Schizosaccharomyces pombe: one gene and its partners. The protein of the gene in region 1 purifies or fractionates together with the protein of each later gene. This does not show direct contact. Each region holds a gene or a part of one and is shown on either strand. Other genes may lie near its edges.

Region 1 (4,288 bases):
CACTAACGCCGAGTCAGAATTGCGGCGTGAAGTACTACAAGTGAAGAATGGCTGATTACTTGTTGTATGAGTCTGCGACAGGGTATTCCCTTTTTGATGTCGTTGGAGCTGATCAAATAGCAGCGAAGACAAAGGAAGTGCAGTTGTCTCTTCAGGATATTTCAAAATTTGGTAAAGTGGTGCAGCTTAGAAGTTTTATTCCTTTTAAAAATGCTGCCCATGCTTTGGAAAATGCCAACGACATTTCTGAAGGCGTTTTGAATGATTTTTTGAAAAACTTTTTGGAACTCAATTTGCCGAAAGCCTCAAAGAAGAAAAAGGTGTCTCTGGGAGTCCAAGACAAAAATTTAGCAACGTCTATTAAATCCGAAATTGATGCCATTGAATGTGACACTTCTGAGCTTACCCAGGATCTTCTCCGTGGTATTCGTTTTCATGGTGATAAACTTCTCAAGCAACTATCACCCGGTGATTTCGAAAGGGCTCAGCTTGGTTTAGGACATTCATACTCTCGCGCAAAAGTGAAGTTCAATGTTAACAGAAATGACAACATGATTATCCAAGCTATTGCTATCCTTGATCAACTTGACAAGGACATTAATACTTTCGCTATGCGCATGAAAGAGTGGTATTCTTGGCATTTCCCTGAGCTTTCGAAGATCGTTGGAGACAATTACAAATACGCTGTTATTGTTACACTGGTTGGTGATAAAACCACCATTAACGACGAAATGCTTCATGATCTGGCAGCCGTTGTAGACGATGACAAAGATATTGCTCAAAGTATAATCAACGCTGGTAAAGTGTCTATGGGACAAGATATCTCTGAAATTGACCTCGAGAATATTCTATCTTTTGCTGAACGTGTTATTAAACTTAGTAATTATCGTAAACAGCTACATAACTATTTGGTTCAGAAGATGAATGTTGTTGCTCCCAATCTTGCTGAATTAATTGGTGAGATGGTTGGTGCTCGTTTGATTTCTCATGCCGGAAGTCTAACTAACTTGTCAAAATGCCCGGCTTCTACGGTACAGATTCTAGGTGCTGAAAAGGCTTTGTTCCGTGCTCTGAAAACCCGTGGAAACACGCCTAAATACGGTATTATTTACCATTCTAGTTTTATTGGAAAAGCTGGCGCTAAAAACAAAGGCCGCATCTCTCGTTTCTTGGCTAACAAATGTTCTATTGCTAGCCGTATTGATAACTTTAGCGATGCCCCAACTACGGCATTTGGTCAAGTTCTTCGTCGACAAGTCGAGGAACGTCTCAACTTTTTCGATACCGGTGTCGCCCCTACTCGCAATAGTATTGCAATGGCAGAAGCTTATGAAAAGGCATTATCGAGTGTTAACATAGACGGAGACGAGGAGGTTGACATTGACGTTGAAGAGACTGTTGAAACCATTTCAGAAAAGCCGAGCAAGAAAGAAAAGAAAGACAAGAAGGAGAAGAAAAAGGAGAAGTCTAAGAAAAAGCGTTCTGCCGATGATGCATCAGAAGAAGTCAAGAAAAGTAAGAAGAAAAAGAAGAGCCATTGAGACGTTATTTTTATTAGGATATAACGGGGACCATATTGCTCTTGCATATTTAGAACAACTTGTAATTGAAAAATTTGCTATAGATTATGGGCGTAAATACTGTAATATTACTAAATCGATTGATATCGAGCTTATCATTTTGATGGATGGACGTGTAAAACTTATCTCTTAGTAAGCATTTACATTTTATTAAGTAGCATTTATGTATTATTCGTATAAGAAGTGCTATTTATATCGAAAGTTAAAAAAATATTAGAAACCAGTATTTGACAATAATTACAATTTAAGTAAAGATCAAGAATCGGATAAAAATTTGTCTTACACATTGATTTACATTAGCTGGTAGTAAGTTCGAGCTTAATTAGTTTTATGAAAAACTATTGGTTAAAAAAAGCAAAAATATCATTAAGGAATTTAATATTTTTTGTACGAACATTGCTGACCTACTATTGTCATATTGCTTTTCAGTACTGTAGTCTAAGGGGGCTACTACTAGAGTTTTGGGTGAGTTGTGCTATCCTCCCCACACCACGCACTTTTTTTTTGCGTGAAACATATCAGATATGGGATCCGAGCTTAAGAGTACAAGCCCTTTAGGTAAGCTAATTTAGATTTATTTTTAAATACAGGAGAATGTTTTCTAACCTTTATAGCGGTCAAGTATGATTTGTCGCAAAAAATTATGCAACACCTTGACCGCCATCTCATTTTTCCTCTATTGGAATTTTTATCTTTAAGACAGACTCATGATCCAAAGGAGCTTTTACAAGCTAAGTATGATTTGCTTAAAGATACCAATATGACTGATTATGTGGCCAACTTGTGGACTAATCTTCATGGGGGTCATACCGACGAGGACATGGCAAATGCTTTTGCTGAAAAGCGACGCAGTGTTTTGCAAGAGCTCTCTGAACTTGAAGAAGAGGTTCAAGGAATTTTAGGTGTCTTAGAAAATCCTGACTTGATTGCAGCTCTTCGTCAAGATAAAGGTCAAAATTTACAACACCTACAAGAACATTACAACATTACCCCTGAACGTATAGCTGTTCTTTACAAGTTTGCTCAATTTCAATATAATTGTGGAAACTACGGTGGTGCATCAGATTTACTTTATCATTTTCGTGCCTTCAGTAAAGACCCTGAATTAAACGCCTCCGCGACCTGGGGTAAATTTGCTTCTGAAATTTTGACTGTTGATTGGGATGGGGCTATGGAGGAATTGGGAAAACTTCGCGAAATGGTGGACTCCAAAAGCTTTAAAGATTCTGCTGTTCAATTGAGAAATCGAACTTGGCTCCTCCACTGGTCCTTGTTTCCTTTGTTTAATCATGCAAATGGTTGTGATACTCTTTGTGATTTGTTCTTCTATACTCCTTATCTCAACACCATCCAAACCTCTTGTCCCTGGCTATTAAGATATTTGACTGTCGCTGTTGTTACTAACCAAAATAATGCAAATCAAAAACCTCGTAACCCTAGGCAATCTTATCAAAGAAGGATGCGAGATCTCGTACGCATCATTAGCCAAGAAAACTATGAATACAGCGATCCTGTGACCTCTTTTATTTCTGCTTTGTATACTGAGGTCGACTTTGAAAAAGCTCAGCATTGCCTCAGAGAATGTGAAGAGGTTTTGAAAACCGACTTTTTTCTCGTATCTTTGTGCGATCACTTTTTGGAAGGTGCTCGCAAATTACTTGCTGAGGCATATTGCCGTATTCACAGTGTCATAAGTGTTGATGTGCTTGCTAACAAGCTGGAAATGGACAGTGCTCAATTAATACAACTTGTTGAAAACCGTAATAATCCTTCAGTTGCCGCAGCTTCTAATGTAGCTGCCGATCAAAGTACTGAAGATGAAAGTATTGAATCTACCTCTACAAATGTTGTTGCTGATGATTTAATCACGGAAGCCGAAACTGCTACTGAAGCCGAAGAGCCCGAACCCGAGGTACAATTTGGGTTTAAAGCTAAGTTGGACGGTGAATCAATAATAATTGAACACCCTACTTATTCAGCTTTCCAACAGATTATAGACCGTACAAAGTCATTAAGTTTTGAAAGTCAAAACTTGGAGCAATCTCTTGCTAAAAGCATTTCGGAGTTAAAGCATGCTACTGTTTAGACAAGATTAGCAAATAGTTTAAAGGTGGAATATATTTCATACATTAAAAATAAAACATAGGAGTTTAATTAATTCGCTAATTTTGTATTTTCAAACAACTCGTTATTGTAGAAGATGACTGTGTACTTTCCTATTTAAAGAAACGTGCTCATTGAATATCGCTATTAGTATATTAATTTTGGAAATTTGAAACATGCGGGGATATTAAAAAAATATATATTATCTAAAATTTTTTTATTTTCTGAAGTGCATAAAAAATAAATAATTAATGCAAAAGTATTAATGCCGCTATCTCAACATGTAGAAAATGTGTCGGTGGAATTAACTTATGTATATATTAAATTGCTGTAATAATACTAATCCAATTGCATTAAATTAAATTTCCCTAATTGATAGATAAATAAACGATGCTGCAACGGTATTACCGTAATTTAATCGAAAGACTCGCTACAACTAATATGTAAGTTTGGTGTTTAAATTTCATATCAAACCAGTACACCACGAAAGCTTGAGACAGCATCCGTTTCCGTGCCACCAACATTTATCAACGCAAAGATATCTCTTGAAAAGAATAGATTTTTGGTCAGTAGTAGGACCAGGACCTAAAGATGCCAAATCCTAA
Region 2 (4,160 bases), 830 kb from region 1:
TATATGTCGATGTATGTTTGTTTTTTGTCATGTAATTAATAGTAGTATATATTACTTTGCCGTCTTAGCAAAGATTAATGGTCATTAAAAGTCAATACTATCGTATGAAGTGAACCAGCTATTTCAACGGATATGAGAGTTATATTGTTAAATCTTTATGACAAATGTGTTCTTAAAACTTGCTATGCCTTTGAACACAGGATAAAAACTTATAAAAAATATGACCCCTAAGTGACTTGAACACTTGACTTTGAGATTTGGAATCTCACACTCTACCAACTGAGTTAAGGGGCCTTCGCTTGATCTCATAAATATTTAATATTATAGATATTAAAAAAAAGAATGTACAGCATAAGTTGTAATAATGAAAGTCGAATTGGTAAAGTCAAAACTGCTTAAGTAGTCAGTTGAAAAAATTAGCTTTTCTTTCAGCTTAACCTAGAAAGCCTTGGTGTAATTAATGAAGACACAAACGAGAAAGTTGCTTCAAATTACAACATTAATGGATTTTGCGAATCCTTACACTCTCCATGTAGCACTACATGCTGAAAAAATAACAAATGGTTTTGGAGCAGTTATAACAATGGAGTACAAAAAAATTTTCTAAAATAGTTAAAATTAGTCAGTTTAAAAACCCTTATTTTTTCTTAACTCGTCAAGTACACCAGCAATCTAATTTCGCGCGTAAAAATTTGTTTCACAATCTGAAAAAAAAGGTACCAAAAGACCAATCATCAAGGCAAGTGTACAGCTTTAAACCATTCATGATATTGCTACAAAATACTAAAAGTTATTTCAAAAATTTTTCAGAGGCAACCATTTCAAATATAAAAAGTATAAAGAGGAAAAGAAAACAAACGATAAGTAAATGAAACCTAATTTTATTCTTTTAAATAGCAAAAGCAGAGGAACAAAACGTAAGGATCCTTTCCAATTTAGCATAGATTTATGAGACATACCATGGGACGATCACTACGCAGATACAACCCCAAAAAAGGAAATTTTAGCATTCTACCAAACCCAATGCAATTAGGGATAATAGAGCCTGAACAATGTCAAGCATTAAAAAGTATAACATATGAAAGCTCTCAGAAACGGGTAAGGTGGTTAAGACAATCCGAGGGATTAGACTGAATACATGGGTGAAAATAAGGGAACGATTTATGGAAGAAAAAAGAAAATTTTTTATATACGTAGACCTTTATCCAATTTCAAGAAATTTTTATATAATTAAAAGAAACTTAATCTCGAGGCTTGGAGAATTCACATCGTAAAATCAAATTGTTCCAACCGTAACCATCCAAGCGATCACGAGCCTTGATAGCACAATCTCTATCGTAATAACTGACAAAGGCAAAACCTTTAGCACGACCAGTTTCCTTATCCTTTGCCAAATATACACGTTGAATACCACCAAAGCGACGGAACAAATCACGAAGTTCCTCTTCACGGGTATCATCAGATAAGTTAGTGACACGAAGAGTGGCACTATCATCACGTTCACGTTTGAACATAGAATCACCACTCTCACGCCCTGAGCCAGCACGAAGATGAGGAGCTATATAACGACCCTTTTCGCCCAAGGCACCACTAGCCCTTGAAGAAACAGGACTAGCATCCAAGGGAGGCTCATCAACAGGTCCAATAATGCTCTTGTAAGGACATTGAGCGGTAAAATGGTTACCCTTACAAGCACGACAACGAACCACAGAGCTACCCTTTGCCTTAACCTTAGCGGCAGCCAAAGCAGCCTCATCTTGCTCCTCTTCCTTCGTAGTAGTCCAACCAAGTTGAAGTCTTAACTGAACATTTTCGCCAACACTAGTGGTTCTAGCATCAACACCACTGTTCTTGCCTGCTTCCTTTCCGAATTTTTTCCATTTCTTACGCTCCGCCACAGCGTGTTGCACCCGCTCCGTAATAACGGTTTTCCGTATAACTCTGGTAACCTTCACCTTTTTGCCATTATCATCAATGCGAAATTCAATCATGGTTTTTGTGCCATCGGGATTATCAAACGTCTGAATCGAAGGCAATCCAGTACCATAGTCCTCATCGTCAGCCCAATCCAGTGATTTCCTACTTTGTTAGTTTCTTTCACAAAAAAATATATTACATACGATGAACTCATTTTATAGACAAAAGATGTTTGAAGAGGGTGAGCCCTTCATCACCAGAAAATTTGTTGTAGTGTTGAATTAACATACATTAGTAGAAGTTTGATATACCAACATAGCAGTCTACGTTGCAGTACACTACTTGAACTTTTCTTAAAAAGGAGATGATACCTTGCGACTAAATTAGTTTAAGCTTTCTGTTGCTACTATTAGAAAAAGCGGATGAAATTGTGGATTTCAAATTGAAGGGATCGTTAATAACCAGGACAAACTTCGCACCGGTCATCTCAATTCAATCGTCAGTTGAAGCCATAATCTGCAGATCTCTATTACCGATCACTATAAATAGCCAGGTTTTGCAATACCATCATCTTCTATTATTCTGTACAAAGCTCTTTAAAAAATTTCTCAATTCCCGTTAATATAGATATTATCAAAATACAAAATAAAAAAATAAAAACCCAGCATCATTGAACTGGGTATAAGAACATCTAGCTAAAACACTATAATCATACCCGGATGGGAATTTGGTGCATTCATAAATCTAGCATTCATGATTAAATAAGGACAAATGTTTTGTTGTAATAAGAGAAAATGCTCTGAAAAAAAGAAAAGGAATTCCCAAAGGACTTAACAAATCTAAGTTAAAGTCCTTAGCACCAACCAAGGCGGCTGATTACTTATAGCGTTGCAAATTTGAGGTGTCATACCAACTAAAGGAGAATGTCGAGGTAAATATATAAAAGACTAAAGGCAAATATCCTGCAAACATTTTATCTAAATGACTTTACTCGGCGTAAGCGGCGTCAATTTCCTTCTTGAAACGATCCAAAATTTTGCGACGCTGTAATTTCTGAGCTGCAGTCACCAATCCATTTTCGGGTGTAAACTCAATGGGAACAAGGACGACGTTTTGAATAAGTTCGATATTAGCGAAATGATGACTACGACCAATACGAATAAGGTCGTCATAAACAAGTTGACGAACTTTCTTGTTATGACAAACTTCCTCCCAAGAGGCATCAGGACTAAGACCGGCTTGTTCAGTGGCAAGTTTACGAACGACGGGCTCGTTGGGAACGATGATTGCCAAAGGCTTCACCTTGGTCTGATCTGCATATACACAGATATTCGAAACAAGACTGCTCGTACGATAGCGAGATTCAAGCTTCTCCAGTGCAATATACTCGCCATTTTGAGTTTTGACGAGGTTTTTCTTACGATCAATAATTCTAAGCAATCCTTCTGGAGTCAATTCGCCAACATCACCAGTACGGAACCAACCATCTGGAGTAAAGCTTTCTTTATTTTCTTTATCACGGTTAAGATATCCCCGAGTCAAAGAGGGACCACGAAGCCAGATTTCACCACGAGGAGGGTGTCCGTGAGAGTTGTAGTTGCCCTCTTCACAGTCAACTAACTTCATCTCAGTACAAGGCAAAAGAGATCCAGCTGAATCGTCCAAATTGAAACAAGCAGGGTTCTGAACCATAGCAGCTGCACTAATTTCGGTCAAACCATAACCGATTAACATAGGACAGAGAACGATAGAAAGGAAGCGCTTGGTGTCAGGAGATAAGGCAGAACCACCAGATAAAGTGTATCTTAAACGACCACCGGTTCCCATAGATCTAATTTTATTGAATACAGCGGTATCCAATACGCAAGAACCGGGAAGATTGTGACGCATCAACTTTGCTTTAGTGTAATAAGCAGTCCAAAAAACTGAACGCTTAACAGCAGAGGCAGCGTTTAATTTACTCATGATACCCTTACGTACCATTTCCCATACAGCGGGAACACCAACCATGATAGTGGGACGGAAGGTATTGATATCACCCTTGCAGTTTCTGCAATTAGTATCGACCAAAGTACGGACGTTGGCATAGCCAATGGTACCACCCCAAGCCAAACAAATGTTTTCAAACGCAAATTCGAGAATGTGTGCCAATGGAAGGTAGGCCAAAAGATAATCTTTAGAGGTAACTTCAGGAACGTGCTTGACAATAGCAGTGACAATTGCAACCATGTTCTTGTGACTCA
Region 3 (4,701 bases), on another chromosome or scaffold:
CACGATTCTGACAATTGGAGTCAACATGGTGATGAAGAAGAAGAAGATAGCGAAGATGACATACGTTCAAGTAAAGATGCAGCTGCCTTAGCCGCCAAATTATTCGGTGGTATGGCTCCTGCTCATCCTGTTTCAACACCTCCTGTAAGACCTCAATCGGCGGCACCACCTCAAATGTCTGCTCCAACACCACCACCTCCTCCTATGTCAGTACCACCACCTCCATCTGCACCGCCAATGCCTGCCGGTCCACCGTCTGCTCCACCACCACCTCTTCCTGCTTCATCGGCTCCTTCTGTTCCCAATCCAGGAGATCGTAGTGCTTTACTTCAACAAATTCATACTGGCACTCGGTTGAAAAAAACGGTTACGACGGATAAAAGCAAGCCCATAGCAGGACGAGTTTTAGACGCTTCTGACGGCAATTCATCCGCTTGGTATGGGAATTTGTCTTAGTGGCTTAACTTTTGTTTGTACTCATATCAAACGTTGAGTTTTTGTAGTGTTTCTAATTTTTATGCGCTCTTTATGAATGATATATTTTCTCATTCTGCAGCTATCAATTATCTCTTTAAATTGGCTTGTTTATACTTTATTTACCAATAAAATGTTTATGTTTAAATCTCTAGAGTGCATTAAGACAATATGAATTTAGAAACTTTCTTGAGTCAAATAATACTCGGACATTCACAAAACTATTAAGAACGCTATATTACTTATATACAGTAGTATGTAACGCAAATGCAATTCCATTTAAAAGGACTAATGTAAATATAAATTTCCCCATACAGTACCAATCGAAACGCAAATACACGTCCAGGAACACATAATTGCGGCAACAAGATCATGATTTTAATCAAGTAACATCCGATTTCGAAGAAGGCCCCAATTTTTTTATGACAAAAGGTAGCGTAAAGCCCTTAATCTTCAACGGGTTCTATCTCTTCAGAGATTACTTCCTCAACCGTTTCCTGAATTATTTCTTCTTCTTCAGCAGGAACAGTGATAGCAGGTTGGCCAGTGATTGCACGTTCTTCCGCAACCCGAGCAATAACCTCATCCCTATATTTCTGCCACTCACTAATGAGCTGTCTTCTACGGGCTGCCAATTCACGATTGGCGGAACTCTGTTCGGCGATATCCTCTTCATCAAACAAACGATTATAATCCTTAAGTTTCTTTCTAATTTTCTTCATGTCTTCCTTTGTCAATGGAGAAGGAGGTCTCGGACGCCAGATAAACTGCTTAAATTCTCCAATCATTTCTTCACGAAGAAGTGTGCCCCTAAAATCGCAAAGTCTGTAACCGTTCTCAAGCTTATGCCTCCAAATAGTACTGCTAGTAGTAACATATCGACCACTAGGATCCCACTCCAGCTCAGTCATACCAAAGTGCTCGGCAGAACCTATTTGCTGAACATTGGCAAGAGCATCCGGTTCTTTCTTTTCGGTATCAAAATCTAAGTCGTAAAACTCCAAATCATATTGAGTAGAGGAACCAAGGGTTGCAGCAACCATAAATCTACCCTTAGGCGCCATAAAAAGTGAATTGCATGTTTTCTTATCAAAAGTAATGATATGACGGAAAGTACTAGGGGTGTTCTTTTTCTGCTCAAAACCATAAAACGATAAATTAGTTTTTACATTTGTAGAATTTAAAACTTGATCATTAGCTGAAATTATGGCAAAACGATCACTCTTAGGTTCCCAGGCAAAATTGAGAACAACATCCTTAAGATCCACTACTTCAACGGGAATATTTTTCTCACGAATTCGGAATATTTCAAGGTTAGAGAATGTTGATTTCTTAGTTTTTGTGTGACGATCAACCTTAACACATAAATAATCACCATTAGACTGCCAGTACAACTTACAGTCGGAAACATTGAAAAGATTTTTCGTACGGATAGTTGATTTTGAAGGAATACTAATTAAGGCAACGCGAGCAGGTTGATTGGTAATTTCAGGGGTCCAGTAAGCTAAAAGCTGCTCCTTGGAATCACGTCCGAGAGCATCTGAAACTGGGCACCATTCAAAATTTTGCACACCGTCGATCTTGATAGTTTTCTTGTCAACCAAAGCAAGGGAGGGTGTCTCATAAACAGAAATCGACTGACCAACAGTAACGCGAGCAAGGTATTTATCATCGGCAGACCACTTGAAAATAGGCCAAATAACTTTTTTGCCATCCTTTGAACCTTCTGGTTGAGGAGGAATCTTAAAAGAACGAAGAATACGACCAGAGGCAATATCCCAAACGAAGCAATGTTTTCCTTCATCATCATCAGTGAAAGGCATTGTTTCACGAGCCGGATGTCCGATGGGAGGAAGTCGAACAGGCTCATAGGACCATGAAACAAGATACTTCTCGTTAGGGCTGAAGTCGACAAATTTTACGTAGGGGTGCAAGAAACGAGCACACATTCCCCAAGATTCCCCACCCCATAATTGAATACCACGAAGATGAAGTGATACGAGGTAAGTGCCCATGGGAGACCATTGCACGTAGGTCTCGGTCCAGTTTTCACGATCCACAATCTGTTCAGGGACGTCGCTCTTACGGTTCCAGTTAACAGATACACGGTTACCGTAATAGCTGATAAATTGATCACGACCATAGTAATCAGTTAACCAGCTACGCAAATGTTCGCGCTCCTTAAATTCACGTTCTTCGAAACTAAATTCATCAGGAGTGCTAAAAGCTTTTTCGAGTTGATTCAACTTACGAACAACGAAAGTATGGTTTTTTAAAATTTGCTTTCCATCCAACTCTTGAACGCAAAGATCGGCGCCATCAACATTTTCAAAATCGGCGAAAACTAGTCCAAGAGACATCTTTTTTCCATTTTTTTCCTCAAATGGCATATAAAATCCATTTTCCTTAACCTTTCCAATTTTAGCAAGGACTTTTGAGCTCAAAAAACGGAAGAAATCTTGCTGCTTAGCTTCTTCGACAACTGGAGCACCTTCGATTACTACAACCGTGTCATATCCAACAGGTTTAGTTACATTAAGCTTAACTTCCAGTTCAGAAACATCGATTTCCTCGTCCTTTACGACGATTTGATCCTTAATTTCCTCAATTAGGATTTCCGACATTTCTGGTGTAGTGCCGTTGTCTCTAGTCAAGTTTCTTCACCCAGTGACTGGGGGGACATCGAAGAGTAACTTTAGAGAAATTTAAAAAAAATTGAAAGTAATGAAAAGTAGAATTTAAAAAACATGGTATCATTTAAAATAAACTAATAAAGTTGATTCTGTTTTATATTTCTTCTTTTTTAGATTTTAACTCATTCTACCGATTTTGACTATTATCATTACTGACAACAGTTTATCTGCCAAGTTCGTTCATTTTGTATTGATTTTTAGTATTAGCACAATTGTTGGATTTTTCATAAAAGTTCTTTTTTCTCTTTTTATACTGTTGATTTGTACTGCAAAACATTGGAATGAGACATTCCAAGTGTTACCGTGTCTGAGTCCTCGTTCTTGTTTACAACAATTCAACAACATACTCAGGAGCGACAATTGTCCAATTTATTCATTCTTTTTACCCCTAAAAACAGACGTTTACGATCTTTTCCTATTTTAAATTTACCCCTTTTTTTTATATTGTGGTTTATTGAACTTTACAACAGAATTGCAATTTAAATTAACAACCTTGTCGCTTTCTTTGTAACAATCCTTACTCATAAAACCGAATGGCCCCTAGAGTTGCACCTGGTGGCTCACAACAATTTCTAGGAAAGCAGGGGTTGAAAGCTAAAAACCCGGTTTCTACTCCAAATTCACATTTCCGCTCTGCGAGCAATCCTAGGAAACGACGTGAGCCTCCTACTATTGACACTGGGTACCCAGATCGCTCCGACACTAATTCTCCGACAGATCATGCACTTCATGATGAGAACGAAACCAATATTAACGTAGTCGTCCGTGTTCGTGGTCGTACAGACCAAGAAGTACGCGACAATAGTAGCCTTGCTGTATCGACTTCGGGCGCTATGGGTGCTGAATTGGCCATCCAGTCGGATCCTTCATCCATGTTGGTCACGAAGACGTATGCCTTTGATAAAGTCTTTGGTCCTGAAGCTGACCAGTTAATGCTATTCGAAAATTCGGTAGCGCCCATGCTGGAGCAAGTATTGAACGGCTATAATTGTACTATATTTGCGTACGGACAAACTGGAACCGGTAAAACATATACTATGTCTGGTGATCTTAGCGATTCCGATGGAATTTTGTCTGAAGGAGCAGGCCTTATTCCTCGTGCCCTTTATCAATTATTTTCCTCCTTGGACAACAGTAATCAAGAATATGCTGTCAAATGCTCCTATTATGAACTTTACAACGAGGAAATTCGCGATCTTTTGGTTTCCGAAGAATTGCGAAAGCCAGCTCGTGTTTTTGAAGATACTTCGCGGAGAGGGAACGTTGTTATTACTGGTATTGAAGAAAGTTATATAAAAAATGCTGGCGATGGGTTGCGATTGTTACGTGAAGGCTCTCACCGGCGTCAAGTTGCTGCTACAAAGTGTAACGATCTTTCATCTCGTAGTCATTCAATCTTCACGATAACTCTGCATAGAAAGGTATCTTCGGGAATGACAGATGAAACTAATTCACTTACCATAAATAATAACTCTGATGACTTGCTGCGCGCCAGCAAACTTCATATGGTTGATTTGGCTGGAAGCGAGAACAT
Region 4 (3,651 bases), on another chromosome or scaffold:
TGGATTCCGACGTTATCCTACCTTGTCAGCTAGTAAAGGCGTGAGTTCTTTGTAATATGATCAGCTTTGATCTGAAACGATCCAGCAAGAACAGTTCAAATGTACGAGCCCTATCGACAAGAAAAGACAATTTAGAAGTACTTCTAAGTTTCAAGATCGTATTGATGAATTAATATGAAGTTGGTAATGTTTGTAGCTATTCTTAGGAAGAGGTGTGGGATAAAAGAACCGCCTAACAGCAATACGTACGTACATAGGTATCAGCTTTCCTACACAAGGAACAAGTACGGCATCAACATAGGATCGGTAAATAAGTAACAAATGAATATACAACGCCGTTATAAAGTAACCTTAATATATTCACGTAAGACACCTTTAAAGCAACGTTCAGCTAATGATATTTTTACAATCTTCAACTGAAAACAATAAACAAAGTAATCATCAAAGAAAAAACGCAAACAATGACGTTGGCATGACAACGAGCATAATTGACACCTTTCTTGACGTTTTGACGTTAAATAGCGTGATTCCGTAATCTGCGTTATTCTATAAACAAACTAGCAATACATAAACATACATGATCAATGTTGCTCCCACAAAGCATGGACTTGACTTTCCAATTGAGTGGAAACGTTCGTGTAATACTTTACTACTAACGAATGTACAGCAGACAATATTAAATAAAAAACGCCGCCAAGTAAGCTATCCATCTAACTCCAAATACCATACAATTGACTCCTTTAATAAGAAACATAAATCAAACAATCTAACGGAATTTGAAATCGTTTCATTTATTCACTAAAATCTACGCTAAAACATGACACAACTTCATCTAGAAATTACATCTATGTCATCAAACGACACCACAGTTGTAATATAATAGATGAAATTAAACACGTCAGAAAACACCAGCTGCCCTACATAATACGACCAAAAGGAAACATATCATGTAAGAGATCATCGCATAGAAAGACAGCAAAACAATTAGGTAAAAAACCTAATCGAAAAGCATGCCTTCAAAGAATTAAAAGTCCTCACTCTGAGGGCAACGGTGCCTCCTATCATCATCCGTGTTGAGTTCTGTGGCTAGGTTAGGAAACCCAAGCCGGACGTATACTATAGAAATGATCCTATGGAGTATCGTCGATAGTGTTTTGTTGAGGATAATGACCCGTATATATAGTAAATATAACGGAAAAGCAGTCACATTCATTTCCAATCAACGAATAATGTTGAACTTTCAAGTATAATGCAGTGTCAATTACACTATATTAAAAAGACTTTGCAAGGCGGTGAAGCTGCTCTTAAATTACAATAAGCATGAAAATCATATTTCGGTAAATTAGTAAAAGAAGTCATGAAAATAGAGCTTAAGGCCGAGAAAACAAAAAAAAAATTTACAAATTTTTTAACTAGTTAGAAAAGGTTTAATAAAACTGGTAGGCTCCTCTATTCTATAACTTGTAATCGCCGACAGCCATGGCTTTAAAAAGTTGCTACTTGTTGTTACTTGTCATTAAACTGGTGAACACTAACTCCTTTAGAAGTTCGTACAGCAATTTGCACTTCAACCAACTACTTGGCAGACTTAAAAAACATGTCTGATACAACTTCATTGAATGTGTAAGAATGACTAAGATATATAAATAACTAATTCAGTAGTCCAGAATTGGAGTCTCCCCCTATTGAGCGGGTGGAATTAGAATCTTTACTTGTAATGAATATCATCAAGCACTGCCGTGATTCTTTTCCTAATATGGGAACAATTGGTAAGTGTAGTCATTGGAGAATAAGTTTTCCCTATTTTTCGAAATGATAAAACTTGCAATTTTTCTGCATCAAAGATGCAGCTATGCATTTGTCAGCTCAGTAATGCTCTACTTAGTGAAATTTCTTATCAACCACAGTTTCTCTCTTGAAATAATATTTTTAACTAACTTTCGTTCAGGTCAGCTTGTTGGTATTGACATTGATGGTGTTTTACAAGTCAGTAGCAGCTTCGAGTCTCCGTCTGTTCTTGAAAATGAAGAGTCTGCTGTTAACAAGTCTGTTTCCGGTAAAGCACGCCAAGCTCATACTGAGGCGATGCTTAATCGTCTTCAGTACATTGGTGCTGTTACTGGTCACGTTGGTTGGTATTTGGGAGCCTATGTTAGTTCATTCTTAAGTAGCCCCTTTTTTGTAGAAACGCAATATGCTTATCAAAAGGCAAACCCCAACAGTATCGCTTTTCTTTATGATTTGTCTCAATCTTCTAATGGAACTTTGTACATGCGTGCTTATCAGTTAACTCCAGAGTTTATGGCTGCCCATGAGGAAAAAACTTGGACCGCCTCCTCCCTCAATAGCCACAACTTGACTCCTTCCAATGTTATCCGTGAACTTCCTATTGTTATTCACAACTCTCATTTGGCTACCTGTTTGCTCCACTCTCTTAGTGAGCCTCCTACTCCAGCTTCTACCCTAACCGCCGAAGCTGCTCTTGAAGATTGTGAAAGCAACTTACCCTTGACTGAAACGTTCAGTAACTTTGAGGTTAGTTTGGGTACCAGATATAGAAAGAATATTGAGTTATTATTGGAGTCTACTGATGAGTTTCATTATGAGCAAGGAAATCTTGGATTTCATCAACGTCAACTCGCAAGAGAGCAAGCTAAAATTCAACAGTGGATTGCTAAGCGTAAGGCCGAAAATGCAAATCGTGCTGCCGAAAATTTACAACCTTTACCTTTAGACGATTGGAAGCGAATCTTCAAGCTCCCTGCGGAGCCTCGACTTCTTGACTCTCTATTGATTAGCTCTCAAATTATGAAGTCTACTCAAATAGATGAACAAAGTTCTGCTTTCTTGTCTAAGCTTGCCGGTGTACGAAACGCTTATGCTTCTTAAGCTACTGATTGGTAATAATCGCTTAAATTTAGCGCTAATTATTTGTGAATCTGGTTGAAAATTTTTAAGGACTTTGATCTCTGTGAAGCGGTTGCATGTATTTGTTTATAAAAAATGGAGCATTCTTCTTCACTCTCACTAGTTATACCTCGTAGCATTAAAATAAAAGGATCTACTTAATTATAAAAGTTGTTTTGGTTTTCTTGATACAGCATATTGGTTTGTTGAAATACAATGTGCAAAAATATACCATGATTGTAATTATAAGAAACAGTTTAATCTTCAATAGTGCATTCAGTTGCTGGTAATCTACTTGTTTATCGTATTCGAGTTTTAGGTTACATTGCTAATTTAATATATTTTCGGGCCCTTATACAACATCGAAACACTTTTCTATTAATAAAATATATTGTTAAATTTTGTTTTCTCTCTGTTAGATTATTTAAAAAAAAAATCGTAAATATTGCCGAGACCTTTTTGTTTGTTTTGACTTGCTTCACGTTACAATGTTGACTTGGCCAAAACCAACAAATTCCAAATTCATTCAATTCGCAACTTGCAATGGAAGTTCCTTCTGCAGTTACCCTAAATAATTATGTGGGTATGAAAACAAAAGAATGTTGATAAAGAGTCAAAACTAATGTTTATAGGGTTCGATTCTATCACTTCGCAAATTAACCGCAAGTTAATTCGTCGTGGTTTTCAATTTAATGTAATGGTGGTTGGTACGTATTATTTTTATTACAGATTTTCAATTATAAT

The links.
Region 2: the proteins of int6 (region 1) and tif307 purify together in Schizosaccharomyces pombe (affinity purification with mass spectrometry; 3 studies listed by BioGRID, with this or other methods). This does not show direct contact.
Region 3: the proteins of int6 (region 1) and tif302 purify together in Schizosaccharomyces pombe (affinity purification with western blotting; 4 studies listed by BioGRID, with this or other methods). This does not show direct contact.
Region 4: the proteins of int6 (region 1) and tif308 purify together in Schizosaccharomyces pombe (affinity purification with western blotting; 2 studies listed by BioGRID, with this or other methods). This does not show direct contact.

Annotation. Positions count from the first base shown.
Region 1 is NC_003423.3:938,078-942,365, reverse strand, and holds int6 (translation initiation factor), read left to right. Parts: upstream 1-2,057; 5' UTR 2,058-2,104; coding exon 2,105-2,138; intron 2,139-2,194; coding exon 2,195-3,666; 3' UTR 3,667-3,745; downstream 3,746-4,288. Other genes in the region: U3 snoRNP protein Nop56, read left to right, coding at 48-1,541; oss1 (oxysterol binding protein), read left to right, coding at 4,275-4,288. UniProt on the Schizosaccharomyces pombe protein: Component of the eukaryotic translation initiation factor 3 (eIF-3) complex, which is involved in protein synthesis of a specialized repertoire of mRNAs and, together with other initiation factors, stimulates binding of mRNA and methionyl-tRNAi to the 40S ribosome.
Region 2 is NC_003423.3:1,770,994-1,775,153, reverse strand, and holds tif307 (translation initiation factor eIF3g), read right to left. Parts: upstream 2,152-4,160; 5' UTR 2,132-2,151; coding exon 2,121-2,131; exon of another isoform or gene 2,080-2,120; coding exon 1,242-2,079; 3' UTR 607-1,241; downstream 1-606. Other genes in the region: long-chain-fatty-acid-CoA ligase Lcf1, read right to left, coding at 2,905-4,160.
Region 3 is NC_003424.3:4,308,976-4,313,676, reverse strand, and holds tif302 (translation initiation factor eIF3b (p84)), read right to left. Parts: upstream 3,117-4,701; 5' UTR 3,099-3,116; coding exon 921-3,098; 3' UTR 616-920; downstream 1-615. Other genes in the region: pan1 (actin cortical patch component protein PanI), read left to right, coding at 1-456; kinesin-5 family plus-end directed microtubule motor, bimC subfamily Cut7, read left to right, coding at 3,701-4,701.
Region 4 is NC_003424.3:986,800-990,450, forward strand, and holds tif308 (translation initiation factor eIF3h (p40)), read left to right. Parts: upstream 1-1,561; 5' UTR 1,562-1,597; coding exon 1,598-1,623; intron 1,624-1,662; coding exon 1,663-1,769; intron 1,770-1,860; exon of another isoform or gene 1,861-1,948; coding exon 1,949-2,889; 3' UTR 2,890-3,067; downstream 3,068-3,651. Other genes in the region: mitotic and meiotic (sporulation) septin Spn2, read left to right, coding at 3,451-3,490, 3,540-3,614.